Linked DNA regions of Alligator mississippiensis. The protein of the gene in region 2 binds, or shares a complex with, the protein of the main gene of each other region. Links are inferred from orthologs where the notes say so. Each region holds a gene or a part of one and is shown on either strand. Other genes may lie near its edges. The genes, in order: MED13L, MED24, CCNC and MED25.

What was found.
Region 1: MED24 (region 2) and MED13L share a complex: the UniProt entries of both Homo sapiens proteins name them as parts of the mediator complex. The link is inferred for Alligator mississippiensis from reciprocal best matches to the Homo sapiens genes MED24 and MED13L.
Region 3: MED24 (region 2) and CCNC share a complex: the UniProt entries of both Homo sapiens proteins name them as parts of the mediator complex. The link is inferred for Alligator mississippiensis from reciprocal best matches to the Homo sapiens genes MED24 and CCNC.
Region 4: MED24 (region 2) and MED25 share a complex: the UniProt entries of both Homo sapiens proteins name them as parts of the mediator complex. The link is inferred for Alligator mississippiensis from reciprocal best matches to the Homo sapiens genes MED24 and MED25.

What each region holds. Positions count from the first base shown.
Region 1 is NC_081833.1:23,710,221-23,717,587, reverse strand, and holds the start of MED13L (mediator of RNA polymerase II transcription subunit 13-like), read right to left. Parts: upstream 3,143-7,367; 5' UTR 2,592-3,142; coding exon 2,520-2,591; intron 1-2,519. UniProt on the Homo sapiens protein: Component of the Mediator complex, a coactivator involved in the regulated transcription of nearly all RNA polymerase II-dependent genes.
Region 2 is NC_081827.1:164,759,913-164,767,466, reverse strand, and holds the start of MED24 (mediator of RNA polymerase II transcription subunit 24), read right to left. Parts: upstream 3,089-7,554; 5' UTR 2,982-3,088; intron 2,945-2,981; exon of another isoform or gene 2,650-2,944; intron 2,492-2,649; 5' UTR 2,483-2,491; coding exon 2,353-2,482; intron 1-2,352. UniProt on the Homo sapiens protein: Component of the Mediator complex, a coactivator involved in the regulated transcription of nearly all RNA polymerase II-dependent genes.
Region 3 is NC_081824.1:85,518,327-85,526,160, forward strand, and holds the start of CCNC (cyclin-C), read right to left. Parts: upstream 3,013-7,834; 5' UTR 2,889-3,012; coding exon 2,857-2,888; intron 556-2,856; coding exon 449-555; intron 1-448. UniProt on the Homo sapiens protein: Component of the Mediator complex, a coactivator involved in regulated gene transcription of nearly all RNA polymerase II-dependent genes.
Region 4 is NC_081828.1:39,929,028-39,936,275, forward strand, and holds the start of MED25 (mediator of RNA polymerase II transcription subunit 25), read right to left. Parts: upstream 3,144-7,248; 5' UTR 3,047-3,143; coding exon 2,904-3,046; intron 1,203-2,903; coding exon 1,157-1,202; intron 1-1,156. Other genes in the region: FUZ (protein fuzzy homolog), read left to right, coding at 3,433-3,591, 3,797-3,918, 4,116-4,200, 4,567-4,635, 4,769-4,873, 5,092-5,289, 5,381-5,476, 5,603-5,691 and 3 more. UniProt on the Homo sapiens protein: Component of the Mediator complex, a coactivator involved in the regulated transcription of nearly all RNA polymerase II-dependent genes.

The DNA.
Region 1 (7,367 bases), on a different chromosome or scaffold from region 2:
CCACCACACTGAGGGATTCAAATTAAAATTTAGCCCCCCAAATTTAGGCAATGCCCAAAGACAAACCAAACTGGAGCCCGACTGTGCTGGGCACTGTACAAATAAATAGCAAATGACAGTTGCAACACATTTGTTCTCTGACACGATAAGAGTCTAAAACAAACATGACTTTACCACAGTTAATTAACTTGTTTACAAAAAAAATAGTTGAGTCTTGTCAGTTCCTTGACATTTCAAGTGAAGTTAACACAAAATACGTAGGAAAGCATAATTTCTTAATTAAGACATTAATCTGCAAATCACTGCTTAGAAGTTACTTGATACCACAGCCACACAAAAGCCACTAGCAAGTGAAGTTGTTAAGGTAGTTTTATAAGACAAATTAAGGGCAATATTTTCTGGCTCTGCAGAATTTATAGATGATTAACAGGAATGAGAGATGAAGAATTTTCAATTTTTTCATTGATATTCTGCATACATATTAAAAACTTACTGCTCAATAGATGTTTATCAGTATAAATGGTAAACTCTTGGGGAAGGAGGAGATCTCTGAATCTTATAACTTTATAGTTTAAAATATCATATGCCAAAAACTATTTTAGTAGCGATTAGCACCGAGTATAACACTACACAAGAAGTTATGCCATGCTAACAACTTCCTAAAATATGCTCAGGTTCCTATTAAAAAACCTGAATAATCCTCTTTTTTTAAAGATACTGTTTATTAACTTACTGCTAACAGTTCTAATAGTTATTTATCCTGTATTTAATGGCTAGCTTGTCTCCATATGCAAAACTGATCTATACGAATCACTGCTACATCTGCACACGCACAGCCACATACACACTATCATGGTTCAGGGAAAAAACTCTGTAAATGCAATTTTATTTTTTTAACAGTGTAACCATTTTCACAACTATGGAACAAATGCAAAAGCCAAGAGCTTTTTAGTTTGTATTACGGGGCCACCCAAAAGCCATGACAGGCTCAGCACCCCAACACAATATATGCTGTACACGTGCATAGGTAAATAAGACTTCTGCCCCAAAGAGTTACATTCTTAATAAATTCAAGATACATCAAATGTGAGAGACACTCCAAATTAAGATGAAGAGAAGTGAATGAAAGTATGCCTAATATACTTAGGTGGACAAGGTTCTTTGGGTAAATGCGATCAATATCTTTTATTAAACCAAGTAATGGTTGGCCTAATAAAAGATACGGCATTTACCCAAAGAACCTTGTCTGCCTACGTCCTTAGATCAGCACAGGTACAACCAACAGCCCCAAAACACGTCTGATACTATGCCATTTATACAACTTAGAAATGACACGGTTCTTAGTCACTTACACATCCCTACCCCTGAACCAAGGATTTTAGAAAATGAAGACACATACGCACATGAACTGGGAACAAAGACAAAACAAAAAACAAACCAGCATCACCACCTGCTCAACATTCCTTCCCTGCCTCTCCAGAAGTGAGACTTTCGACTCTCACATTTTGCGCTCTTCCTCCCCACACATTCCTCCAGAAGGCTGTTCCCAACCTCCCATTACTAGCTATTGTTTTAGCTCAACCCAACTGCAGACTCTAATGAAGCCCCACTTCGCTTCCTACTTGCTCCAGGTATCAGTGTGGGAAGCTCCTAGCTGAATGACTAAGGGAGAACCCTTAGGTCTGCTCTCCAGCAAGCAGGGACAAGGTATCTGGGACAAGGAGGGGAAAAGGCATTTTGAAGTGAACCATCACTGAAACAAAGAAGCGACAGCTCTTACTCTCTTTAAGGATCTGCAATTAGCTGAGTGTCTCACTATGAAGAATTGATACAATAACTGCTGCAAAATTAAACCCTGCCATCAAAAACAGAGTGAAAGTTGCCAGTTACCAGCAAGATGAGAAGACAGCATCTGTTTTAGCAAGATACCCAGCCCACCACACTCCCAGCGAGCGCTTCCCTTAGGAAACAAAAAAAGTGAGGAGGTGTTGTCCCCGCTCCTCTCCTTTGAGCTGTGGGATGGGGACAGAGCTGCGGCCCCAGCAGGACAGCTGGCGCGTCCAGCGGCCGGAGCCCAGGGTGCCCACCCTGCACGTAATCGCTGCGCGCAACTGCTTGCTGCTGAAATGGCGTTTGCCGCTCCGAGAGGGGGGAGCAGAGACATGAGCGCACACGCAGTTTGGGAGGCGCGAAGCGCCGGGGCAGGCGGGCAGAGGCGGCGGGGGCTGCTCCCCGCGGGCACGGGCAGAGGACCGGCTGCGCCCCCGCCCCCCCCGCCGGGGAGGGGACACGCGCTCGCGACCCCGACGTCGGAGAGCAAAACAAACACGGAGCGGAGCCGGGGGAGGGGCTTGCGGAGGAGCCGCCGCGCCGCGCCGGCCGGGATATAAAGCCCCCTGGCAGCGGCAGCCGAGCCGCGAAGTTGGAGCGTCGTCGCCCGCCGAGCAGCGCGTTGTGCGCCGGGGCCGGGCCGGGTGTGGTCGGGCCGGGCTCGCCCCCCGCCCGCGCCAGGCACTCACCAGCGAGAAGAGGTTGGAGTGACAGTCCTCCAGGCTGGCCCCGTTCGCCACCCAGTTGGCCGCCGCAGTCATGATCCTCGGCGAGCCCGGCCGCCGGAGCGGGGCATGTCTGAAGAGACGGGCCCGGTGGGGCGGGGCGGGGCGGGGCGGCTCACGGGGGCGGCCGCCGCGGTGCTGGTCCTGGTCCTGGTCCCGGTCCTGGTCCCGGTCCCGGTCCTGCCCCGGGCTCGGCGGCGCAGGCGGGGCCGGCAGGGGGCGCTGCGCCGCCCGGGGGCGCTCGGGGGCCCGCGCTGCGCGCCGCGACCGACACCCCGAGCCGCCGGGGGCCGCGCCGTCAGCACCGCCGGGGGGGGCCCGCCCGCGGCCAGGTTGGGCGGCCGGCGTGGAGCGGCCCCGGCAGGACGCGGCGGGCGGCGGAGGCCGTGTCCCGGCCCGGCCCGACCCGGCCGCCCTCGCTGCTGCCGCCGCTGGCGGTGGGCGGGCGCTGCTTTCCTGCCGCCGCTGCCGCCGCCGCCGCCTTGTTTACGCCCCGCGCGGGGCCCCGGGGGCTGCGGGCGGCTGGCGGCGGCCCCCGGCCAGAGCGCGCGCGCTGTCCCCGCCCGTCCCCGCCGCCCTCGCGCAGCGCTGCCCGCCCGGCGCCGCCGCCGCTGCCCGCTCCGCCGCACGCCCGGCCGCCGCCTCTCTCCGCTCTGACAGCAATGGCGGCCGCCAGGCCCAGCGCGCCTCGCCATTGGCCGCCGCGGCCCCACGTGACGCGTTCCGACGGGAGGGGGGCAGCGCTCCGGCTCCCGCCCCCCCTGCGCAGTCCCGAGGCTCCGCTGGGGGTGCTGCGGAGTCAGCAACGGGCTCGGGGGCGGGGCCGCCCGGCGGGCTCGGGGCAGCGGCTTCCAGCGGCGCCGCCTCCAGCTGGAGCAGGGGCTGCTGCTCGGTGGGAGCCGGGGCGGGCCCTGGATCTCGGGCAGGTGGACCAGGCCCCCTCTTCCTAGAGCCTCCCCTTGCCCTGCTCACCTTGGAGGCCTGCAGGAGGTGGTTTCCAGGCCAAAACCTGTCTGACTTCATCCCAACCAGGGCGCTGGTCCAGGAAAAGAAAATCACCCAAATGAATCCGTGCCCTTCCATTATAACCAGAGGCATCTCCCCGTTGCAGTGGCTACCCAAAAGTGGCAGCTTGGGCACAAGTCTGGACGATCCGAGTTTTTGCAAACCTCCCCTGCCTCAGTGCTGACGACTGGCGCGATACCCAGCCCTCTGGGGAGAGCGCAAGGTGCTTCGTAAAAAACAAACCGTGGCATCCGCCTTGCTAGCAATATTACCTGCAGGCAAATCGCTTGATACATTTTATTATTGGGTGGCTTAGAGACCCCAAACTTGCTGTCACTTGCTGCAGAGTGAAAGATCCCATGTTAAGAGTGAATAACTGCGCTTGTCCATCCTCCAGCACAAAACGATGATAATGTCCATCCAGACGCAAACAAAAACGAATAAATAAATTGCCAGGGCCCTTTCGACTATATTGCTGGCACCGGAAGAGTAGCTGGAAGGGGAACCGAATCACTCATTGCTTTAAATGTGACGTACAGGGCATACCAGTACTTTGCTATATCTTAGAAAGCAAAACAAAATATTTAGCAGTAAGTGTATTTATAAATTTAAAAAATGCAAAAAGTAATTTAGAATTAAGTTATTCCTTTTAACATTATAGTTTCCATGGAGATTGCCATGTTAAAAAGCTAAATCAAATTGTCCCACACTTTTAGGATGCTTTTTAGACTGATATAAAGAATCTTACCTCATACATGTTTGTTTTGTTCGACTTGAAACAGCTCTTAAAACAAACATTTGCCTATCTTTAACAATACACATTCCCTCAAATTAACTATACCTGAAAGTAAAGCTGACTATAAACAAGTGAAACTGAGCACAATTGTATTCATTGTCCTAGGGGAAAAACACTCAAAAAAGTAATCAAATAGCAACAAATAGCTATAGTTAATATTACTTCATTTTAATGAAAATATTTATTTCTACTTTAATGTATGTTTTGCAACATGAATAAAGAACTGTATGTAAAATGCTAAAGTTGACAGCGTCCCTTTGAAACTTTCAAGTAGGAAACTGACTTAGCCATGTAGAATAAAGCTGAACTACCTAGACTTCTCATTAACAAATGGAAAATCGCCATTTAAAAAGTAAAATTAATTTAAATTTGCCTAGCAATTAAAGTCAATATTGAATAACAAATAGAAAAAACATACAACACATTTTAAACTATCTGATGTAGTACAAAAGCAGATTTTTTTATCCTATTTGGTGAAAACAAGAGCTTTCTTCACGTTTTTAAATAATATTTTTCATCGCTTACTTTTCTTTGCAAATAGTTGTAATCAGCAGGAGCTAGTATTTTATTACACTGACAGAACAGAATTAGTAAGAAGACCTGTTTCGTTGTAGTAAATCTGGAGCCATATACTGGCACAACAGCCCTGTCCAAACTGTACAAATGCACTGCTCTGGATAGACTTTAGATCCCTGGGGTCAGATTCTATTCCACCTATTAGGATGATTCCCCCCCGCCATCCTGCGTAAGTGGAGTTAAGCATCAGTTCTATTCCATCCTCCCTGAAGAACCTGAAAAACTAATAATAATAATAATTATAATTATTATTATTACTACTGCTACTAGCAAATTGCCCATCAAAAATGATGGGGGGAGGTGGGGATGGAGGTCAGCATTTGGCCCTGTGCTCCCGTCCCTGCCCCCCACCGCACTAGTCTGGCCCCGCCCCCTTCAGGCTCAACTCTGTCCCCCCCCCCCTCCCCCAGCAGTTTGGGTTCGGGGGAAGAAGGACCACTCCCCCTTCTTCCCCTGCCCCCTGCTGCGGGCCCAACCCCATTGCCCCCCCGCCCCGCCATGGCAGGCCTGCTTCCTCTCCTCCCCCCCGTCTCCCTGCTGGATCTTGTTGCGGGGTGACGGGGGGGTGCTCTGGCCCCTAGCTCCAAGGAGCAGATTGGTGGGGTGAGGCCATCCGGCTCCATCCCCACCATCCCCCTCTGCCTCCAAGGAGTGGGGCAGGGGGGACCACGCTAGCTCCATTGGCCTGGCCCCTCGCCCCCAGCCCTCACTGCCATGGTGGCACTCCACTCTCTGTCCTGTCTGTCCAGAGCATTCTGATTGGCTGCTGAGACAGCCAATCAGGTCACAAATAAAGCGTTATAAACAGACAGACAGACAAACTAAGGCTTTTATAATATTAGACTAGTAAATTGCCCATCAAAAATGACAGGGGAGGAGGACAGAGGCCTGCATTCAGCTGCCTCGTGCCAGGGCAGGGACACGGCCACTCCCCACATCTCCTCTGCTGCTTCAGTGACGGCTGCCACCATGGCGGGACACAGCCACAAGTAACCCCCATTCCCCTCCCACCCCTCTTCCCCACCATCTCTCCCTCCCCGCCACAGTGGGGAGGGGAGGAGTGGGCCTTGGCCCAAGTAACCCCCCTTCCCATTCCCCTCCCACCCCTCTTCCCCACCATCTCTCCCTCCCCGCCGCAGGGGGAGGGGAGGAGTGGGCCTTGGCCCAATGCAAGGGAGAACCAGGCTCAAGGGTGGGGAGAAGCCGGCCTGCCGTGGAGGGGGGGGGCAGCAGGCCTGGGCCGACCCAGCGGTGGCAGGGGAACAGGAGGAGTGGGCTCAGAGCCAATGGGGAGGAGGGAGGGGGCAGGGAGAAGTGGGCCTGGGTGAGCTTGAGGAGAAGCCCGCCCACCACAGCGGTGGGCAGGAGCAGTGGGCCCAGCCCGACATGGTAGCAGCTGAGAAAGGGGAGAAATGAGCCTCTTCCCCTCCTTGGGCCCGGGCCCATTTCTACCCCACCCCCTTCCTCCCCCCACTGTCAGCTCCAAGCCCGCACATCCTGTTCCCTCTCACCGCTGTGGCAGCCTAGGCCCACTGCTCCCCCCACCGCGTGGGCCAGCTTCTCCCCCAGCTTGGGCTTGGTCCTCCTCCCCACCACGTGAGGCCCGGGCCCACTCCTCCCCTCCCCTCCCCCCACTGCCACTGCTGCGGCGCGCCCACTATTCCCTCAAACCACATCTGGCCTGCTTCTCCCCCCACCACTGCTGCATCATCCTGCGTCAGTCCCTCAGGCGGCAACAATGGAAGGGGTTAGGGGTGGGCTGAGGTATTCACCATCATCATCCACAAACTCTTCACCAAACAGTCATGGTGAGAATTTCCTAGGCAGTGCTGACAAACCTGAACAGCTGGAAGCAGGTAGCCTATGATCTCCACATGAGTGGCTTAGGTGTGATGGTTGCATGACTCTCTCTTGGTGATGGGAACATGAGGTCCTACCTAGGCAACCAGGTGGCCCTAATTAGGGAGGCACCACCTGCCTCAATCCAAGGAGGCCCCAATAAAAGTTGGGGTAAAAAAGGCTCACCTCTCACCAACTCCTGGCTGGTTTCCTATGATCAGCGGGATCTCCTTTTTAAGTGGGAGAAACAAAAACAGACAGAAACTGACAATTGGATGCTGGAACATTCATACACTAAAAGGAAAATCGAGCTTGTAGAAGAACTGCATTAATAGCAAAGGAGCTACACAGGTATCAAATAGATATCACTGCCTTATCCAAGACTAGACTACATGACAGCAGTGTGCTTAGAGAAAAAGAACACACTTTCTACTTGTCAGGTTACAAGGCAGGCCAAAACACCGGCCTACATTGGGTAGGATTCACAATAGCAAACTCCATTGCTAATAAATGATCACATCAAACTGTGTCAATATCCAAGCACTTAATGACATTCCTGATACCACTGTCCCATAACAACTCTATGGCCATAATAA
Region 2 (7,554 bases):
AGCAGGCAGCTTCTCTGTCAATGCCTCAGTTTGGATACGAAAGCCTAAATTTAGGCAACTGGATTTGAAAATATTAACCATCGTGCCCAATCTGTGTTGAATGCTTTACAGAGAAATGGGGGCCTGCATAATATTAATAAAAGCTTATCTAAGAGGCTAAAATGCAGACAAAGGAGTGGAGGCAGGAAACAAGCCCGCAAAGAGGAGTAGAAGCCTGGAATGAGGAATGTACAATGTGTGGGAGTGGCAAGGAGATAAAGCATATATCACAGTACAACTTGGCATAGAAACGAATTGTAGCACAATTATATCTAAAGGGATCCCATCACAGCAGCTGTTACTCTGGGTTATGGACGTGTAACCTGTGTATTCTTTTGTATAGCAAGATCCAGTTCACACACAACTTGAAAGGTCTGTTACCCACAGCTGAGCAGAAGCATTCAATAGTGACCCTGGACTTGGTGGAAGCACTAAATGACATATTTCTGCACCTTTGTTTATAAACATCCCATTTCAAGTCACTAGGATTGTGAAGAAAACTTTCGAAAAAGTAGTTGATGCTGTTTATTTGCTAAAGCCTGCAGTCTGTGCCAGTGCCTCTCAGAAAAACAGGACTCTGGTCAGTTTTGATTGCAAAAATTTGTCCCCTAAGAAAGATTTTAGCAAACCAAGAAAAGGAATTATACCTAAGAGAGACAGGGAGATATTGTAGCAAAGGAACACATTCTCCACGTCAGGGAAGGGATGGAATAGCAGATGTATTACTTCCCAACTGGGTCTTGCATCTGCTGTGGAAATCCAAGGAAAAAAGAGTGGAAATGGCTTTCCATCCCAGCAAGCAAGCCAGGTGAGGCTTCAAATTTAACAGCACACACCCTCTAAATAGAAGCTGATATTACAGAAGTGTCACACTTCAGAAACACCCAAGCATGGCACCACAGTAAAAATCCTAGGACCCTCACACTTCCCAGCAGGGGCAAACTGGACTTCTCATTGATGCATTGCCCTCAGGACCTGGCTGTTGCTTTCAAAATCCTGATTTTATTCTAGCCTCTGATGAGAAGGAATAATCCTCCCACTGTTAAGTGTCCAATCAGTTCCAGGGGTCCTATATTAATGCATCAATAAAGAATTTTTGAAAGCAAGTGAAAACAGGTATCAAGTGAAAAAGAACCCCCACCCCCTCCACTGGAGAAAGAAAAGACCAAGGCGATTAAATTGGTATGGAGGGAAGATAGGATTTCAGGATACAGGAGATCATGATACAGGAGATCCAACCATCAGAACAACAAGGATGCTCTATTTCAGTCTTAATGTCGGTTTAAATAGGGATTTTTACCCTTTAAAAACCTCCCCTTCAAATCAGTCCAGGACCAAGTGCTTTATATTTATTTATATAAATCTTCCCAATGCATGCTTATAGGAGAAAACCTAGCAACAAGTTACTATAATTGGCATAAGAGCCTGGCAAATCTTTAGCTATGTATACTCAAGTAGGCAACAACATTTGGCAGGATTTGTGGCAGCCCCCTTTCTTGAATAGAGATGCAGAAAATAAATGCTAATAACATCTGTGGGTTAGAAGATGCTCCCATTAAAAAAAACCCCAAAAATGTCATTTTTATATAGCACTTTTCATCCTTGGGTGTGTTATCCCATTGTATAGCTAGGCATCAGATGGGGAAGCAACAGGCCAAAGTCACGTAGGTAACCAAGAGCTGGTTACTTAGAACTACAGTGCTCCATCCACTAACCTACCCCGACTCCCTTGACATCTGTAATAGCTCAGGTGTTATTGCAGTGAGTAATCACGAGACAGCTCTCCCATCCTACAAAGATTTAAACGCTTAATTTTTAGCATATCACTGAATTCAGCAGGGCTTAGCACATGTATAAGTCTTTTCAGGACTAGAGCTTTAAGATATACCTACGTTTCAACTGAATGCCAGCTATATACCCAGGCTAAAATGAAAGCTATTTAGTTTGGGCAACAGTAGCAAAGATTTGGCAGCCTGCGTTTGTAGCAACAGAAACATACCCCTGGCATCTCTGGCGGGGTTATATCTGAGCAGCTTTCTTGCCTGTGTATCCACATCCTCACAGCTACCCAAGGGAGCATAGGTATGCCTACACCTGCTGCAACCCCACCTTTGCTGGGAAAAGCAAGCACATCCTCCATTTCCAAAGGATGCTGCCGGACAGTTTTGCAGTTCTGATAAAGCTGTGGGAGAGATAACTAGGAATATGTTACAACTGCGTAATTTGCTTTCCTTCACCATGCATCCACCTCGCTTGGAAGCGCGCAAGTACCACAGACAAACATTTGTACCTACACACAAGCTAAATCCTGACCTGCCAGGTTAAGTATGTCCCACGTGGCTCCTTTAGGGAAAAATTTCTTCATATTGATAGCCCACTGGTAATCGCTCCACCGTTCCTTCCAGGCCTGAAGAATGGCCTGCTTCAGATTGACAACCTTCATCCTTCAGGTCTGAAAGCAAGAGGGGGAAAGGTTTGGCAGCATCATCAGAGCAGGCATTTTTCACCATCCCACTTGGGGCCCCCCAGGGAAAGACATCACCCCTGCACCTCTCCCAGGGCGCATGCATGAGCTCCTACATTATTATTCATGCCACCAGCACCACTTACAAGGGGGCAGCGCTGGCTGGTCCAAGTGCTGAGCTGAGAGGCTTGAGTCCCACTCCCAAGCTGAGGGAGGAAGGACAGGCTCCAGGGGTGAGAATTGGGAGTGGGGGAGACTCGGAGCTGTGAAGCCAGGGTCCCTAGGAACTACTTCCAGCCACCGGGAACAGGCAGGGCCTGGCGCTCAAGGCAGTGACCGGCCCGAACTCCTGGGTCTCTTCACCCCCCGGGGAGGAAGCAGGCTCCTGCCAGGCGATATCTCTTCCCAGCCCGAGGCGGGGGGAGGAAAGGGGGCCACCCTCCTCCCTCCGCAGTCGGATGCCAGGAGGACCCCTCACCTGCGAGCCCCCCAGCAGCGCAGCACAGAGAAAACACCTCCTGCGGGCCCTGGACTACGCCATCTTAGCACCTACCAACAAGACCTCCCCTGATTGGCCGGAAGAACGCTCGAGCGCCGCTGAGCCTCCTTGGAGTTGTGGTTCTTGGGGGGTCGGAGCCTGGCAGACCCCAATGCAGGCAGCCGGGCTGTCTCTGCCAGCGGGGGAAGTGGGCGGTGCGGACGTTGGCTGGGGAAAACTCGGCAGGGATTTAATTTTTTCGCCAAAATCCCCGCAGAGTTAGAAATCCGTGGCATGAGTGACTGGTGCCTCCTGAATCTGAGGGGGCACCCGCAGAAGCCACCAACCCTGTCGGGGGGCACCAGCCCTACCGACAGTATCAGTGTTGGCCGTCAGGGGGGCACCGGCCCCATCAGAGGGGGGGCACGTGCACCCCTGACCAGCCGCCTATGATGTGTGGCACCAGAAAGCTTGCCCCTCCTTCCTGGCTGGGCAGCGGGGCCTAGGAAAGCTCCCTGCTGTCACCCAGCTCTGCCACCACCCCCTGCAGTGCTGCCAGAGGTATGGTAATTATCATATTTGTACCATAATTTCAACCCTTGTAGGGATGTGTGACTGATAACAGTGAAGCATTCCAAACGTACTATAATTTTTGAGGCAGCTCATTGATGCAGCACATGTAAAACCCAACTCAACATCAGAGAGTCCAAGCCAACTTCTGGACTTGCTGTCAGCACCTCCTAATGACTGCTTGCTTTGAAATAAAGAAATGCTCCAACTTCAACAACCCAGTGCTTCCTCACTCACTGGCAAGTTATAGTGAGCAATATGAAGTAAATAAGTTTTATTTGCATTTTTTTTCAGTGTAAAATCATTTTTCTGCAAAGACAATAGTTTTGAGCTTCCAATACAATCATTTCATATTTAAGACCTGGCAACGCTGACCTTCAGACACAAATGTTGCCAGGTGGAAGGATGGGTTGATGCAGCTTGTAGAGGGGGTATAGCTCAGTGGTAGAGTATCTGACTGCAGAACAAGATGCCTTGGCTCAAACCCAGGTGCCCTCTTTGGGTTCAGTACTCAGGCCAGTGCTTTTTTTTCAACACATTCATTTGGATTCAGGTATTAAAAGCAAACTGACAAAGTTCACTGATGACACCAAACTATGGGGGAGTGTGGTCACTATGGGGGAGTGCTCACTACAGGCTGACTTGTACAGGCTTGTGAGGTGGGTGGACCTCAACCTGATGATGTTTAATACAGAAAAATGTTAAGTGCTCCAGCTGGGGAGAAATAATCCACAACACACTTACAAGCAGTGCTACGCTTGCCAGCACCACAACTGAACGAGACCTAGGTGTCGTGATAGACAACAAAATGAACATGAGCCACCAATGCAGTGCTGTAGCTGGCAGAGCCAATCAAACACTGGCATGCCTCTACCAAAGCATCTCGAGTAAAGCTAAGGATGTCATCCTCCTGCTCTACTTGGCCTTGGTGAGACCACAGCTGGAGTACTGCAACCAGTTCTGGGCACCACACTTCAGGAAGGATGTGGAGAAGCTTGAGAGAGTCCAAAGGAGGGCCACATGCATGATTAGAGGCCTAGAGGGCAGGTCATATGAGGAGAGGCTGAAAGACTTGGGACTGTTCAGCCTGGAAAAGAGAAGACTCAGAGGGGACTTGGTGGCAGCCTATAAATATATTAGGGGTACATCAGGGCCTGAGGGAGCATCTGTTCACCAAGGCATTTCAGGGGAGGACAAGAAACAATGGGCATAAACTGATTGAAGACCACTTCAGGCAGTATGTAAGGAAGAACTTCTTTATAAGTTGAGTGCCAAGGGTTTGGAACAGGCTCCCCGCCAAAGGTGGTACAGTCACCCACCCTGGCAATCTTCAAAAAGCACCTTGACACCCATCTTGCTGGGTCATCTGACCCCAGCAGTCTTTCCTGCCCAAGTGCAGGGGGATTGGACCCAGTGATCTGTAAGTTCCCTTCTGGTCCCTAACATCTATGAAACTATGAAACCAGGGGTGCTTGAGCCCCAGCTCACAGGCCAAATCCAGGGTACAGAGCTGTGCCACCTGGCTTCACCATGGGTCAGAGAATTTGGTGGTGAGAGAATGGTGCCAGATCCAGCACTGCCCAGGCCATTGCCATGCCGTGGGATCCATGCTAGGCCTGCCCGCCACCAGTCTGGAATAGGTCAAGCTGCTTCCAGTCCCTGTGTCCCCGCCCTCGTGCATGTCCAGATTGGAGCCAGCTTGGAGCCTGGCCCTGATCCACGTGTCTGGATCACGGCCAGGCTGCTCCCTGCCAGCCTGTACATCCAGATTTGGGCCAAATCATTCATTCCCCACCCCCTTGGGTGATCAGATCAGGGTCAGGCTGCACACCATACTTGGCCAGCCCTGCATGCAGGATCTAGCCCACCATCCGAATGTGGCCCACAGACAGACCTGGCACTGACCATCTGGCTTGCAGAGCAAAAAAGTTGGCCACCACTGTTATAGACTAATGATTCTCACCCAAGGTGCTGGGGTACCCTGAGGTGTCACAAGATCTTTTGAGGGGTGCTGCAAGGTGTTAAGAGACAAGACAGGTGTGAGGAGACATGTGCAGGTTCAGGCTGGTCCCTGCCTGACCACTGCCCTGCCTCCACTGCCTGTCGCCTCAGCAAGGAAGTAGTGCCACCATTGAGACATTCATTTTTGAAACAGGGTGCTGCTCAGCTCACAAAAGTTATGGAGAGGGCCTTGAGTAAAGCTAGGGTGCCTTAGGAAAAATGAGGGGTGCCACACATCTAAAAAGGTTAAGAGCCACTGTTCTAGACTAACCAAAGTAGATATAGATATAATACATGCTTTTGAGGGCTGCTGCTCACTTCATCAGCTGCTGATGAAACTTCAGCTCACAAAGGTTTGTGCAATAGATAAATAGATTGATTGATGGATGAGTCTACTTTAGTTAGTCTAGAACAGTGATTTGTAACCAGAGTCCTGGGGCACCCTGGAGTGCCATCAGATCCTTTGAAGAGTGCCAGAGGAAATGTAAGGCGATTAGGGAAGTGTGAAGAGATAAGCAGATCAGGGCAGGCTCAGGCTTTTCCTGATTGGTGGCCCCCCTGTCCCCACTGCAAGGAGGTAAGCCCTGTAATAAATAAATTAGCTTTTGAAATGGGGCACCCCTCAATTCACAGAAGTTATGGAGGGTGCCTTGAGTCTAAAAGGGTGAGAACTACTGGTCTATACGATTTTTTTTTTAAGAATTTTTTTGTGTTCCAAGCCAAATCAGCCAAATCAAGTCCAAATCCGTGAGTCAGTTCAGAACTATAAGTGGCCCTACAACCAGCAAACATCCTTCACCCCCACCAGGGGCTTTAGCTACTACTGGTATATAAGGTACAAATATACCCTGCCTTCAACTTACAAGAGAACAGGGCTGAATCCTGAGATGGGTGGGTGTGGGATGGGGAGGGGTCACAGCCAGAGAGGCTGGGACTCTGCTTCTTCTAAGAAACAGTCAGCTTCTATGGCTCAGTAATATCTTCTTTATTGATTCATGGTTCTGCCAGCCACACACCAAGCTCTTTCCAAATGTCCAGGAAGCTGTTCCTGTTCTCAGGAGCTCACCGCTAGAAGAGCCTGTGAGCTTCCCAATTGATCTTCCAATCAGCAATTGTCAGAGCATGGCCCACTGGGAGCTGGCCAGATACTGGTAACAGCTTTGCATGTTGTAGTATGTGGCTACATGTTTCTAAGTGTGATGTGGGCTGAGCATATAGTCCTGACTCCCTCAACTCCTTCTCCTTTCCTTTCCAATTGTTAGGCCCCTTTAAAAGATGCTTAAATATGTGTAATAAGTCCCTAGATGTAGCTTTCCCCCAGCAAACAATCACTATAGCAACCACAGGGATGAGATATCATTGGGGTATAGGAGGGAAGGTGAGGGGCAGGACAAGGGGTAGCAAAAAGGTGGGGTGGGGGGAAGGCAGGGAAGGGTGGGAAGGAATGTTTGTGAGCCTTTTTTGTGAGATAAATTGGAAAAGGTTAATTGCAGTGTTCTCTTGTATAGTCACTGTATTTGCAGTAGGACTTACAGCACACAGAGAGGTAGAAATCTTTAGTTCTCAAGGACAAGTGGCAGGCTTTTCAAAGAAGAGCACCGCCTTCTCAACCTGGTGCACAGATCTCTGTGCCAAGCCCTCTGGCTGGAGGAGGCCATCAGAAGGGGGGAGACCTGGCAGATGTTTGGGGATTGTCTTGGTTCCCTTCCCTGTCTCAAGGGAATGCAGACGTGCTGAGCGGGGCGTGCTCTGCCACCAAGAAAAGCAGGAGACGAATATTTGTGCAAAACTCCATATTGACTCAGTCACATGCTGGAACCTGCTGTCTCTGTGGGTCTCACCAACCGATCATGACACAGCACTGCATTCTGGGACCCCTTCTTCTGTAGCTCTATGCTAAAGGCAGGGTTGCATTTGGCAACCTCTGCAGTGAAGACCTAGCCCAAGCCACTCTCTTAGTGAGCTACTCACAACTCTGAGTGCCTTACAGTCTGACCATTCC
Region 3 (7,834 bases), on a different chromosome or scaffold from region 2:
CCCCAGGCTGCACTTTCCACACAGGTGCAACTGGGGTCTCCGTGGAAACTGGCCCAAGCCATGAGGGCAGGAGCAGCTGGGAAATAAGAATCCACAGCCAACCAGATCTGGCCCACAGGGTGGAGTTTGCCCGTCCCTGCAATAAAGACACTTAACTTTTCTGTCCTATTCTCTGCCTCAATGCCTGAGAAAATGAATGTTACCTACTTTACTAGACTGATAATAGGAAGGAAAACTTAACAAGATCTCTCATAACATCTTTGAGAAATATACCTGCATCTAGTTCATACATCTTTCAAATGCGTATATTAATATAACTTTTTAAACACGTTAAGAGAATATATACATAAAAATAGGAGAAACCGAAGCTCTAGGTAAATGAACCATGAATTCAGATACATAGGTGTGACCCAAATTAGACAGCTAATCAAAAATAAAACCATTTTACCATTAGTAAAAAATATTTGAAGTTTCCAATATTCTTCTTCTGCTAGAAATTTCAAGTCCTTCTGGCGTTCTTTCAACAGATCTTGTTTATCCAAAATCCACTGTAAACTAGGAGGGAAAAAAATAATTCACAAATATTATACAGTGACTTGTGAACAAATAAAGTATAGTTCATATCTGGGGATGAAACAGGCTGGTGTGCATCCCTTTAATTGAGTCTTGTAATGCTAGATACATTCTTGCAAAATGAATGCTCATTAGGGCTTTCAAAATCAGGCCCTTTGAGGAAAAATAATCACCAGAAATAAGAGGCCTTCTCAACGCTAAAAATGTCAAATGCATTAGTTATTAGTTAAAAATAAAGTCTGAGAGATATACTACATACAGATTTTATTTTAGATGCCACACATTTAAATTCAATATACCCAGTGCTAACGATACTTGGACACAGCTCATTCTATGCCAACTTTTCTATAGGGGAAATATATTTGATTCGCTGTGACTTTCTTTGCAGGAAAAGCTTTTAAATCTCCTTCTCCCCCTCTCTGTGGTGTAGATAAGGGATGTCAAATCTCTCTTGGATTTTATGGCTCAATCTGGCCTCTAGCAAGGCTTGTAGCATCTGCATCAGCTCAGGGAACCACAGCCATCATTGAAATATGTCCCTGGTCATACTCTGAAATACCTGCCAGAATTCAGTGGTAGCCCCTGTCTCTCCTTGCCCTGCCCCCAAATTCCCAATCCCTCCTGAAGCCCCATGGACCAGATTACATGTTTCTGCAGGTTGTATCTTTGCCACCTTGCACCTCGGTGCAGATTATTAGATACTAAGTAAAGACCAACACAAGCATTCCCCAAGACTTTCCTTTGACAGCCTTAACAACGCAACGGCTTTTTAAAAAGCAAAAACTGCAAGACAAGTTTTAAAAAGCTGGCTTTGCACCCACTGAGCAGCTGTGTTTTATAAATTCATAGATTGTTAGGGGCTGGAACGGACTTTGGAAGATCATCAGGTCCAGCCCCCCTGCACTTGGCAAGAAAGATACTTGGTCAGGTGCCCCCCGCAAGGTGACTGTCCAGTCTCCTCTTGACGATTTCCAGGGTAGGCGATTGTGGAATGAGCTCCCTCCAAAGGTGGTGCAGTCTGGACACCCTAACTTGTGAAGAAGTTTTTCCTAATGTTGAGCCAGAAATGGTCTTCTAAGAGTCTGTGGCCATTACTCTTGGTTCTCCCCAAAGGTGCTCTGGAGAACAGTTTTTCACTTGGTGTACTCCCCTGATAGCAGAAAGCTGCTACCAAGTCCCCTCCCAGCCTTCTCTTTTTTAAGCTGAAGAATCCCAGGTCCCTCAGCCTTTCCTTGTATGGCTTGCTGTGTAAGACTCTGATCAGATGGGTGGCTCTTCTTTGGACTCTCTCAGGCTTGTCCATGTCCTTGTTAAAGGGTGGTGCCCAGAACTGGATGCAGTACTCCAGCTGCAGTCTCACCAGTGCTGAGTAAAGCAGAAGAATCACTTCCTTGGTTTTGCTTGAGATGCATTGATTGATGCATGCCAGAGTATTGTTTCCCTTGCTGGCTCCAGCACCACGCTGCCGGCTCATATTCATACTGTGGTCTATTACTAGCCCTAGGTCCCTGTTATTTTTTCCCCCTTAGTATTACTACTTGAGTTCAGACCTTTGAGTTAGGTTTTGTATGCCAGACTTTGGTAAATATGCCAGACAGCCCCCAGGGAGGAGGAAGAGGTGGTTGCGACTGACTTGGAGAGCTGCTGCAGTCACAGATCCTGCATGTGTATTTGGTGCATGTTGGGGGAAGAGGGGAGCAGCTCATCTGTGTGTTATGCACCCTCCTGAAACCGACGTGAAACCCATCAGCTGCTGGTGCGCCTTCCAGTTTTCCCAACATGGGATTTCTTTTCTGGCCCACAGTCAGCTTTCTTCTCCCAAGCCAGGCAGCAAGAGAGAGAAAAATGAAAGGACTTCCAAAAGAGCAAGTAGGCAGAGGAAAACGACTGGCTGTTTCAAGACCCTGGTGACCCAACACGCAAAACATGCTCAGGCTTAGTCATCATAGAGAAGTGGACCTGCAGAGGTCATCGAGGCAGGGTCATCCCTACCAAAACCACCCCATTAGGAACAGGACCGGCTCCCCTGGGGTCACTCCCATGGGCAGCCCCCACAACCAGGGGCTACAGAAAGGCTGTTTTCAGACCCCCTGGCACTGACAGCAGGGACCAGCAACGTGGTGGGCGGGAATCGCCTTGCACCCCCATGACACTCACTCGCACGTGCGTTTAGGACCCCTCCCCCGCCCCCCGGGACGTTCCCCCAACGGCCGCCCCGCCTCCCCCCCGACAGCCCGGGGCCGCGTGCGCCCCGCAGGGGGAGGAGAGGGGGTCCCCACTCACTAGTGCGAGCTCTGCCAGAAGTTCCCCGCCATGGAGCGGGCTCGGGGGAGGCGGCTCTGCCCCCCCGGCTGACCAGCCCCGCCACCCCCACGCTGCCCCCCCCCGGCCGGAGCAGCTTCGCGAGCGGCAGCAGCGGTGGCGGCGGCAGGAGGAGGAAGGAGGCGGTCGCCGGGGTCCCGCGCCCTCACTCCGCCGACCGGCAACGCGCCCAGAGACAAGAGTTCCGCCGCCAGCGCGCGGGTTCCGCCGGACGGGGGACCAAGAGCGGGTGCACCGCGCTCGGCCCCGCCCCCGGCCCCGCCCCCTCCGCCTGGCCGCGGGTTGGGCTTTCGTCTGGGGACGGGGCTGAGACTGGGGAATTGTCAAAACTGGGACGGTGACGCTGGGATTTATGATGGGATTGGGATTGAAACTGGAGGATCGGAATTCAGGCTGGGATTGGGCCTGGGAGACTACAAATGGGAGACTTGGATTGGGATTAAAACTAGGGAATTGGGAGTCAGACTGGGTTTGCAACTGGGATTGAGACTAAAATTGGGTCTGGGGGACTAGAAATGGCAGACTGGTATTGGGATTGAAACGGGGATTGGGAGTCAGGCTGGGATTGAGACTGGAGTCTGGTCTTTGATTGGGACTGGGAAAGTGGGATTGAGTCTGGGGGACTAGAAATGGCGGATTGGGATTGAAACGGGGATTGGGAGTCAGGCTGGGATTGGAACTGGGAGACTGGGTTTGGGTCTGGGGGTCTAGAAATGGGAGCCTGGGACTGGGGGACTGGGATTCGTGCCAGCTCTGAGTTGGAGTGGGCTGTTGACCCATCCCAGGGGATCTGGGCAGTGATGCCCCAGGGAGTTTTCTCCGTGTACATCTGACCATCATCACATCTACCCATCAGCACTGCTGCCAGGCCAGGCAGGGCCCCTGTAGCCCTGATGTAAAGTTGCTTGTTGCTGGCCCTTCTGCTGGGCTGAAGCCCAAGTAACAATCTGTGCCGGTGTGGGGGGTGAAAGTGATGTAAGTGTGTAAGAGCTAATACAAGACTCACCTGTTGGAAACCTGTGCTGCGTGTGCTGCTATGAATGTTCAGTGTGTTGTAGCAGTGTAAATCAGGGGTGTTGGACCCACAGAGCTAGATCTGGTGCTGTTTGGGCTCTAGTGCTGCAGCTCTCACTGGTTTAACCAGTTGCCTGGGTGAGAGCAGCAAAACGAGCCCCAGCAGCACAGTGAGAAGTCCAGCAATGTAGTTTGTTCCTGTGGTGGCAGCTAAGCTTTCACGATGCCAGGCCACTTCGCCGCAGATCCCAAATGAGCTGGAGCAGGCACCAAGCGTGCTGGATCTGGCATGGGGATGGATGGGCATGATTCAGTCTGTAGGGTGAGCCCTGTACCATTCATCCAGCTCATGAAGCCAGGTGAGTTTGACACTCCCTGGAATAAGCAGTTAAATTTTGGGCAGGAAGCAGCTGGCACTCTTGCTTTCTCACTCCAGCCTTTCCTGCCAACTAGTTATACTGACAGCCTCTCAGTGCCTGATCAACCTTCAGAGGGGTTGAACTCTACCATAAAGGTAACAGGTACTCTAATAGGACGGAATTCCTTGTTTCTCTGCTGTTGTCTTTTACGGAACCAGCCACCGGGCTGGACTCCATTAAATTCCAGATACTGGACAATTTAATGACAACTGTGAGTGAAGGAGGACACCTTCTCCCTCTGCATGGGAAGGGATAAAGATGCAACAGGAAAAATGGGAGAGGGGTTTGTACCAGTTGAACAGTAGCCTACAGCTGTGGTTCTTAACCCTTTGAGACTTGAAGGATCCCTCCATAACTTCTGTGAATTGAGTGGCACCCATTTCAAAAACTAATTTACTTCATTTATAGCTCTTACCTGCTTGAAGAGGGGCTGTGAAGAAAGAGGAGTAGCCAGCAGGGAAGAACCTGTGTTGCAGTGAGTGGGTGGAGGAGTCACTGCTGATGAGCCTGCACTCATCTCTCTGGAGCCTGTGTTTATCCCCCGTTCTGCGTCACCCTTCAAAGGCTACTGTGGCACTCTGATTGAGAATCACTGCCCTAGAAAAATAGAGCAGCCTGAAATATGTGCAATGTGTGTGTGTCCAGGGCATACTTAGCTATCTACAGGCAGACAATAGGAAATTCTAGGGAAATCCCTGTGCTCTGGCCCCCAACTCAGGGTACACTGTCTGTGCCTTCATCAGCTGGCAGTCTTAACCCTGTGGAGATGTTTACCTGGGCAATGGAAGAGGAGGGAAAGGAGCCACTTCCCTTTTGCCAAAAGCCAAGTGGCATGGGCATTTGCCCACAAAATGGGATACTTGCATGCCAGGTTTCACTGAACCTGAGCGGAGGTTAAAGCCATTTCTTCCACTTCCCAGAAAAATGCTCTTGCCACTAGGCCGGATTGAGGGTATCCTGCATTCATCCTGTTGAGACTGAGAGACAGGAAGGGAAGGAATTAAAAAGTCCTGGGGCTAGAACAGTAAATGGGAGGGAGCAAAACTTTGTATCTTGTGAGGCAGCCACTACAATAATTGTGAAGCCGTGGTGGTGCTCCCAATGGTGTTTATACATTTTATCCCAGGACTACTGGATGCATGAACAGCATTGGGAATAAGGAACAGAACCAAGGGCACCTTCCTTCCCCATATCATACTTCTCCCTTGCTCTCCTTGCTGAAGGCTGAGTGGTTTGGTTTGGTTTGATTTGGTTTGGTTTGGTTTGGTTTGGAGATTTTTATGACAGTTTGACCAGCCTAACTGATGACAAATTCTTGGGACACATTATTTGAGATGTCCTGTGCAACTACTTTGAGGAAAGGGCATAATGGTTTAGATAGGCTTTTGGGGATGTTCTAGCTATGAAGTGTTGGTTTTATGGATTTTAAATACAGTGGTGCATGTCAGTTTACTGACAGGATCTTGTGCAGTTGATCAGCAGGATTTATTGTGCATGCTGTGTGCACTTTCATTCATTTTAAATATCAGGTATCTTTTAGTATATGTCCAGTATGCATGTCTGGGCCTCCAGGTAAAGTGGGCTTATTGTTGACATGCTATGTAGAACCTCTTCAGATTCCCATGCATTCTGCAAACAAAGATGCACAGATGGATGTGTGGAAATAAATTTATTTTATAATTAAACAATATCTGACTTGGAGTGGTACCAGAACAAACAGTGCCAGGAGTAGAAAACCTGGAACATTTAAAATATATTGTGAACAAGCAGTGTGGATTAAATTAAAGGGTAAGGGAGATTTTACATAAGAACTTGGAGGACAGGTACACAAAGGTGAACAGCATCTGTGGGGCTATGTGGGAACATTGGGCCTTGGTGGTGGGGCCTTGGTTTGAGAGGGTGCTGAAGGTCATTTCCCTGCCAGACTGGAATGAGCTGTGACACAGGGTCCAACTAGTGAATGTTTGCTCCCAGTCAGGTGAGTTTTCAAAAGTCTGGAAAAGCTTCTGGCTACCATGGTGCTGGGTGGGAAAAAGTAGAAGGTGAGTGGCAGCTTTGGAACATGTTCATCAACAACCTTGCCTCTTCATAATGGCCACGAACTATGGCTGAATCTTCATGTTTATTGCATTGTGCTCTCTGTCACAGAAGGGTTTTGCTCAGTCACTTATAATAAAAAAGCAAACAGTGATGTCTGCCATTTCCTTTGCAGCTTTGTTGGTAGCCTGAGTGTTCTCAGCAATAGAGCTGGGCAGGCTCAGGGAGTTCAGCTCAGTCTTTGTGTAGGATCTTACTCCAGCTCCTTTGAAATGAAAAACTCCTGGCTGTCAGGCACAACCTCTTGATAGGAATCATCAGTCCTGCTTTCATCAGTGTCCCCTTCTGTGAGGATGTCTGTGCTTGAGATAAAATGTGTGTCTGTGCTGACTTCCTGTAAAAAATCTTGTTCAACTAGCTTTATACTATGGACTGATCTCTGGACCACAGACAGAGGCACACAACATCACTCCAGCGTAAAGTTACTATTGGTTCCAAAGAGAATAACATCTCTGAAGCAACTCATTGGTTACACCTGTGCAAGTTAAGTCATGTGCACACCCTTCTTTTTATATTAATGCAACCTTGTTTACACCAGTGTAAACTGCCTATGTAGGTAAACTCTTGAGTTTCTTAACAATAATGGACCTGATTCTCTTCTTTCTTAGTTTTGTACAGATGTAACTTCATTAATATCAGTAGAATAATTCCTGATTTATATTTCTGTAAATGAGAGAAGAATCAAGCGCCAATGAAAACTAAAGACCAGTGAAGAAGGCCATATATAATGCTTCTCTAAAAGTGGCTAGCCTGAAAAAATAATGATATGCTCTAGTGTCTGATGACCATTTGCATGTTCAATGAGAATAGAAAAGAAGATCTAAACAGACTGGTTGAAAACAATTGATCATTTTACAAGACAACCAGGATCTTGAAGATATTTTCTTTTTTTTTTCTTTTTTTTTAAGAAATCAGGCATTTTATTGTTTTTCATTATATAGGAATACTTTGCCTGGATTTCATGCATTTTCATGCATTTCCTCTTATCCATGCACTGTGATGAAATTTTGCATTCACCGTGGTTAGGGTCTAAGGCAGTGATTGCTTAGAACAACACTGTTAGGATATAGCAGTTATGTTGCCATATTTACAATTATTTCGTGTACTTCCATATAACTTTAATATTTTTGGAATATTGACATCAGTGAGATTGGGTCAGTCTCTCAGAAGTAATATTTCCTATTAGGTTCAAGCACAGTTTTGGACTGAGACCACTATGGAATTTCTTGTGATTGGTATATACTAAGTTTTCTTCTCTGCCTTTTTTTTAAATATAGATAGGTCTTGATTCTTTACACCAGTGGTTCTCAACCTTTTTAAACTAAGGCACACCTTGTTAGACTCAAAGCACCCCTTGGAAAATTCAGGCTCCTAGCTTTCACTTATTTCTTGATTAAAGAGTAATGTTT
Region 4 (7,248 bases), on a different chromosome or scaffold from region 2:
TTCTAACCCCACCCTAACTGTTGGCACTCCCCTTCCTTCCTTAACCAGGTGGCAAACCATGCTGGGAGGGGGGAATGGGAGGGGACAGGGGGGAAGAGACCCACCACTGCCACTGTCCCTGGCTGACCCATGTTCTTCCTGCTGCTGCCAAGCCTGGCCCTCTGCACAGGTGCTCTTGGGGTAGGAGAGGGCCTGGGGCTTGCCCTGCCCCTAGACAGCCAGGGACACCAGTAACAGGAGATGGGCCCCGCCTTCCTCACCTCCTCCCTGCTTGGGCCCCACCCTGGTTGTCCCACATTAGCCCAAGGTTCCAACTACACCTCAGGCTCTGTAGAGGACCCAGGCATTCAGGGACAAGAGGAATCAGTTGCCAGCATGTGAGGTATGACTGGGCTACTGCACCACATCCTGGCCCACCAACCCACTGGAGACCAGTGTCCCACGAAGGGGCATCTCCATGGCCCCTCAAGCCCCTTCCACCTCTATGGAAAGATGGGGGTGGGGTAGAGTTTGAGGAGCACCCCACAGTTCATCCTGTCCCACCCGTATCCTTACCCTCAGGGGAGCAGGGTATAACGTGCCCCCCACAGTACTATCCAAGGAACCCCCAAAGTGAGTAGGGGCACCCTGCATGCTCACAACCTGCTGTGAACAGGAGAACATGAAGATTTCAAAGGGCACCTGCACCAGGAATGACACACATGTGGTATGAACCACCCCTGCCCCCCTAGTGGTACACTCCACCCCATCCCCCTGGGAACTGCCCATAAGTGGTACGTCCCTGCCTAAGGCATGACCAGCAAATTGAACATCCTACCCTGACCTCCCTTGTGAAAGACCAGCTTGTGGTACATCCCTGACCAGCTTTCCAACCCCACTGCCTGGAGATGCCAGGTACCCCCCAAATGCCCTCCCTTGGCAGGGGGTGCTGGGACACCAGGAGGGCCACTCCTGCACCCACAAGTGATACCATGCACACACCCAGGACATGGAGGGATCCAGGGTGCTCATCCCACCCTTCATGACAGTTTGCCAGAGGCGGGCCGGGAGGTGGGGCAGGACACACGCATGGGATTGCCCGACAGTTGCCCCCAGAATGACACTGTTGGGCCATAAAATTCCCCCTTCTCCAGGCAATGTTGTGCTGCCTACTCACATCTCCCCCAAAGTCTGTCTCAGCTGGTGGACCACCATTAAAATACCTGTGACAAGAGGAAAAAGCTATCAGAGCTGAAATAGGGAAGGGGGCAGCGGGGCTGGAGGAGAGATGGAGCAGGGCAGGAATATGTGGGGCAACTGAACCGGGCTGTTCCTGTGGGGGGAGGGGGGTTGTTAGGGCACAGGTGGGAGGGTGCCAGGAAGGGGGTGGGACTGCTGGGGGCTGGGGTGGCTCAGGAGAGGTAAGAAAAGGCAGCTATGATCCAATTGACAGACACAGAACAGGTGGAACAGTGAAGGGGACAGAGCTGCTCTCTCCCCCTCCCACCGTATCTGGAGGCTTCCCATTCAAGTAGCGAGCAGGCCTCATTCTGCTTGGATGGAGCTGTGCTGGGGAGACAGACCAGCTGCTTCCACTGATGGAGGTGCCCAGCTGGTATCAACAGTGCCTGGCTGTCATGGATGAGAACAGGGACAGCAGGGTGGGGCACTTGGGGCCAGACATTTAGGGGGGCGTGCTGGGTATCAAGGATAAATTGGAGGGAGGGTCCCATAGCTGGGCATCGTGGAGGGGAGGAACTGTAGCTGGGAGCTGTAGTAGAGAAGAGGGGTCACACCTAAGCACTGGAGGGGGCAGGGGGCTGTAGCTGAGTGTTGGGAACCATTGGGGATAACACATCCAGGTGACAGGGAGGTGAAGGCCTGGGCACTGGGAGTAGGCTAGGGGGTCCCATACCTTGGCATCGGGGGGGGGGGGAACGACTGGAGCTGGGAAAGTGATGAGGGGACACAGCTAGGCACTAAGAGGAGAGAGAGGAGGCTGTAGCCAGGTGCTGGGGACCAGGGGTACATATCTAGGCATCAGGGTCAGGGAGGTGAGACCTGGATATCAAGTGAAGGCTGGGGGGATCCATAAGTAGGCATCAGGGTGGGGGAGCAGAGATGGAAGACTGGCGGGGAGAAGTAGCCACATGCCAGGACAGAGATGAAGGGGCATAGAGAAGTTGTTAGATGTGTTAATCCGATTGGGGCTGGAGCCAGGTGGGGGGGCGGGGGCCGACACATCACTGGGCATTAAATAAGGCAGGACAGGCATGGTATCCGGGCATCTGGGCAAGCTATGGGGCAAAGAGGGGGGAGGTCTTACAGCTGGGAGTTTTTGGGGTGGTGCCCATAGATGGGTGTCAGGGATGGGGGGCATAACCAGGCATTGAAGGGTTAAGATGGGATACTGTTTACCCAATTGGGAGCAATGGTGAGTCTGAGCACTGGGGGGGCAGGGGCATGGTCATTCTGGCAGGCTGGGTGGGCACAGCCAAGCATTAAAGGGGTAAAGCCTGGATCCTTGGGCTCACCCTGCCAGTGTAGACTGGGGGGGGGGCACCCCTGGAAGTCCCACAGCTGGTGGGGGTGGACACTGGGGCAGCTGGGGGTCCATAGCCAGGTGTTAAAGGATTAAAGCCCAAATGCCCAGGGTCACTACGGGAGGCACGGGGCAGGCTGCAGGAGTCACAGACTGGCATTAAAGCCTAGACGCCTTGGTTCACTGGGGGGGTGGGAATTAGGGCAGGCTAGGGCCTCCCAGCTGGGTGGTGGAGGAGCAGACAGAGCCAGACACTGCAGGGCTGGAGCCTGGATGCCTAGGTTCAGGGCGGGGGGGCATCAGGACAAGTGCCAGCTTGGCATTAGAGCCCGGAGCCGGAGTTCAAGGCGGGGGGGGAGGGAGACGGACACACGACACTCACTCGATGGCGGGCAGCAGGTAGTGCTTGCGCAGCGACTCGAAGTAGGGCCCCAGGTTGGCCGTGCCTTCGATGACGAATACCACGTCGGCCACCATCCCGCCAGGCCCGCCCAAGGCCGCCGCCTCCGGGCCCGGCACCACCATCGCCCCGCGGGCGGGCGGTGGGTCACTACGGCGCACCCCTGTCCCGCGGACTTACCATGGACACGCAGGCCCCGCCTACCCCCGTAGAGACCCGCTTCCGGCGCCCACCGGAAGTACTCCTCTTCGCTTCCGCGTGCGGGTGTAGGGGGTCTAGGCCCCGCCCCCGGTCTCCATAGTAATTGCGCGGCTTCCCCAGTGTGCCCCGCGCGGGCAAAATGGCTGCAGAAGGCTGAAAGGGTGGTGATGGCGGAGCCTGGCGGCAGCCCCGTCTCTCTGCTCTGCCTGGCAGCCACCAGCGGCGTCCCGCTCTTCTACCGCGGCGCCCCCACACGGCACCAGGTCGGGCCGGCCCCGAGAGAACGCAGGCGTCCACCCCCCGATCAGTCATGCCTGCCTCGGGCTGCATCGGGTCCCGCGCGGTTCAGCACTCCCTCCCCCCCCCTCGGCTGGGACCCGCGAGTCCTGGCCCCAGCCCCGTCCGCGGCTTGGGCAGAAGCCAGGCGCCCTGGCTTCAGCGCGCCCCGCCCCTCCTGGAGAGAACCCAGGTGACCCGGCTCCCAGCCCCCACTCCCCTCCCAGGGCTGGGAGAGAACCCAGGTGCCCTAGTCCCATCCGGCCACCCCCCCCCCTCCACAGCTGAGGGGGGCGGACGCCTGGGTTCCCCCTTGGCTCTGGGCAGAGAGCTTAGTCCTGGATCCCTTCACCACCACCACCCCCGGGACCCCACTGACTTCCCGCCCCCGCCCCCAGCTCCCCTTCTCCGTGATCGGCTCCCTGAACGGCGTCCACATGTTTGGCTCTAACCTGGACGTGGCGCTGACAGCCGCCCGCACGGAGGGCACCCGCGTGCTGTGGAGGGCCTTTCATAACAGGTGGGGCCTGGCCTGGGGGAGAGGGAGGGGACCACAGGTCGAGCTGGAGGGGGGAGCGAGTCTGGCAGGAAGGGGGCAGGTGTTTAGCCTGAGGGAGGGGAGCAGGGCTCCAGGTAGGGCAGGGGGTCCATTTGGGGCTGGCCCTGAAGGGCTATGGTGCTGGACAGGGCCATTACCCCCCCCCTTGGCTTTTCCAGCATCACCCTCATTGTGATGTCATCAGAGGAAGGTGCTAGTGACTTCACCCTCAGCCGACTCCTGGACAATGTGTTCAGTGCCATGGTAAGCCTCCCCGCCCCCATTCTATGCCCCTATCCCTTTCCTTCCCCCAGCAAAGTCCATGGAGCAACCCTCCTTCCCCCATACCCCACCTTCCTGCTCTAACATCCAGCCCCCATCCCTATCCTTCCAGAGGGGGGTGCTGTCATATGACCCCTCTACACAAAGGGTCCCTAGAGGGCTGAGGGGGAGGGGGGGGGGCCAGGAAGTGTACCCACATTCCCCATCTTCCCTTAGAGGACCCTAGGCATGTGTGCGCATATGTATATGTACACACGCAGAGCTGTATCCTCACACAGCTGCCCTGGTTCAGCCCTGCGCCCCAGCCCCTCAGTGTGTCAGGCTGATGGGCTTGGGGCCTGGTTCCAGGTGCTGGTGCTGGGCCTGGAGGAGTTGGCGAATATCCGCAATGTGGAGCGCCTTAAAAAGGACCTGAGGGTAAGTGATGGAAGGGCAGAGCAGGATGCCCCAACTGCCCTGGACGTGGGGTGGGGCAACAGGGCCATATGCCCCTGCCCTGAGCTGGTGTGGGGCTGAGCCCTACTCCACCCTTCCCCCCACCTACAACCAGGCCTGCTACAAGCTCATTGACAGCTTCCTGATGCCTGGGGAGCGCATTGGGGACCTGACGCACTGTGTGGAGTGTGTGCTTGTGCCCTGTAGCACCATCCTGCAGGTGAGAGCTCCACGGTGGCCCACGCCCTACTTTTATCCCCTGGAGGGACCTTGGTGCCCTGGCCCACAGGCACGGGAGTAGGGACAAACAGGAATGAGCAGAAGGCTGGGATGCTGGAGCAAGTGAGGATCCAGGGGAGGGGCAACTACTACTGGGACCAGGACAAGGAAGGAGCTGCCCTGCCTTGACCCCTCCTCCTCCTAACCCCCCTCTTCCAGGAATGCCTGACTGCTTTCACACGGGCAGCAGAGAGCCGCTTTGGCTGCCTGCTGGTGGGCGGCCGTGTGGCAGTGGCCACTGAACCCTGGTGGCAGCTGGCCCCCCAGGAGGTGAATCTGCTGGCCTGGCTCGTGGGCTCACTACTTCCCAGCACTACCCGGGACTACCCTGTCTACCTGCCCCAGGGCAGCCCCATGGTGAGAGCCCATGGGGAGGGGCTCAAGGCTGCAAGGGGTGGAAAGTAGGGAGTAGACATAACCATGCCTATGCCTCCCCCTCCCCCCCTAGGTCCCCCACCGTCTCCTTACCTTCCAGCTGCTGCCCGGCTTGGACATCTGCCTCCTGTGTGGGCCCAGCCCCTCGCTGGAGGCTGTGAAGACTGAGGTGGGTGCCAGGGGGGACAGCATGGTACCCCCCCACAAAGCCTGCACAGAAGCCCCAGCTAAGGCGCTGAGGGGGGGGGGGAGAAAGAACACTGGCACCATTAGCCTGCCTATCTCTGCGTTTCAGCTAGTGCCACGGTTCTGGAAGCCCCTGCTGGAGCCTCTGCGGGCATGTGCATGTCCCCCCAGTGTCCCACTGCACCCTGGAGTCCTGGCGTAAGTCAGGGGAGGGCGAATGGGACATTGGGCAGGGGCATCAGCACCCCTGGCTAGCTGCCCCCCACCCCATCTCACTACATCTCCTCCCTCAGTTTCCTGCTGATCAACCGCGAGCAGAAGCGGAGTCTGAGTGCAGTGCTGCCCAGAGGGGTTCAGGCAGAGGGTAGGTCCTGCCCCCACAAACCCTGACTTCCTGATGCCCCCAAAATGTGCTGCAGCAGTGCCAGGGCAGTGCCTACCACTCTGCCCTCACCCACCTCCTCCTCCCTGCCTTTTCCTCACAGGCCCTGCACTGCCCCTGGGGAGTTGTGCTTCTGTCTTGAGGGCCTTCTATGCCCTGGTAGTCTCACATTACTTTCCCTGTGAGGGGAGCCCAGGTGAGTGCAGGAGCTGGCCCCCAAGCCTCTCCAACCAGGGACCCTAGCACCGATTCTAGTTCTGCTGGGCACTACTGGGCAGGTACCTCCTAAGCACCCCCCTTCCCTCTGTTCCTGCAGTGCCCCCACTGGAGCTGCCCCTAGGTGGGGGTTCACATAGTGCCCAGCACTGCTATGTGGTCAGTGCTGGGTACAAGGCCTACGCTGCCCAGGCGCCCCCGCATCAGCTTTTCCTGCTACTGGCGCCCGAGGTTCCCACCTTTGCCCTGCGCCCGCTGGCTACCCATATTCTGCAGTACCTGGTGGGGGATGCTGCCTTTTGATACCACCTGCCTGGACACCTGGGTCCCATGGCTTGGCCAAGGGACTGATGCCACCCGCCCAAATGCCTAGGTCCTACAGCTTGGCAATAAGAGACAGACTCCACGTGACCAGATCCCTACATGTCAAGAGAGCACTGATGCTGACTACTGGGGTCCTGAGTCTCCTCTAAGGCAGGGGGAATGAACACTGGCTGCTTAGTTGCCTCAATCCCCACAGCCTGGCAAGAGAGGGGATTGAGGCTGGCAGCTTAGACACCTGGGTTTTTCAGGGCCCTGGACCAGGGCTGAGACACACCTGCCTGTAATTAAACCTCAGGGAATACCCCGATCTGTGTTTCCTGTGTCATTTCCACCTGACCACCCGTGCAGCAGAGAGAGGGGCATAGTGCTCCCCACCCTGCAGGATCCAGAGTTTGCTCCACACCCTGCTGTGACATGCTCCACCCCAGAAGCAGGTGTATCCCAGTGCCATGGTGGCGACTGTACCTGTGACCTGATGCCCCTAGCCCTCCCTTGCCGGGTCCCACAGCACAGAATGAAGCTCAGGGGAGGGGGGCAGGTGGTATTAGGGGCCCTGGCAGGTGCCCCATTTATTAGTCACATGGAGATAGATACACACGCTCTGATCCGCAGGAACTACGTGACGCTAAAACACCTAGAACGGCAAATACCATGGAGCCTGGCCAGCACCTGTGGGGACCCCCGCTTCCTCCCCCTCCCTGGGGCAGCAGCAGCTCTCCCAGCTGCTAGGAGGGGGGTGGGGGGGCTATTAGCGTCATCCCACAGGCCTGGGGTCCCCAGGGAGGTGGGGGGGGGGGTGAGCAGATCAGGGCAAATTCATGCACCCCCCACTT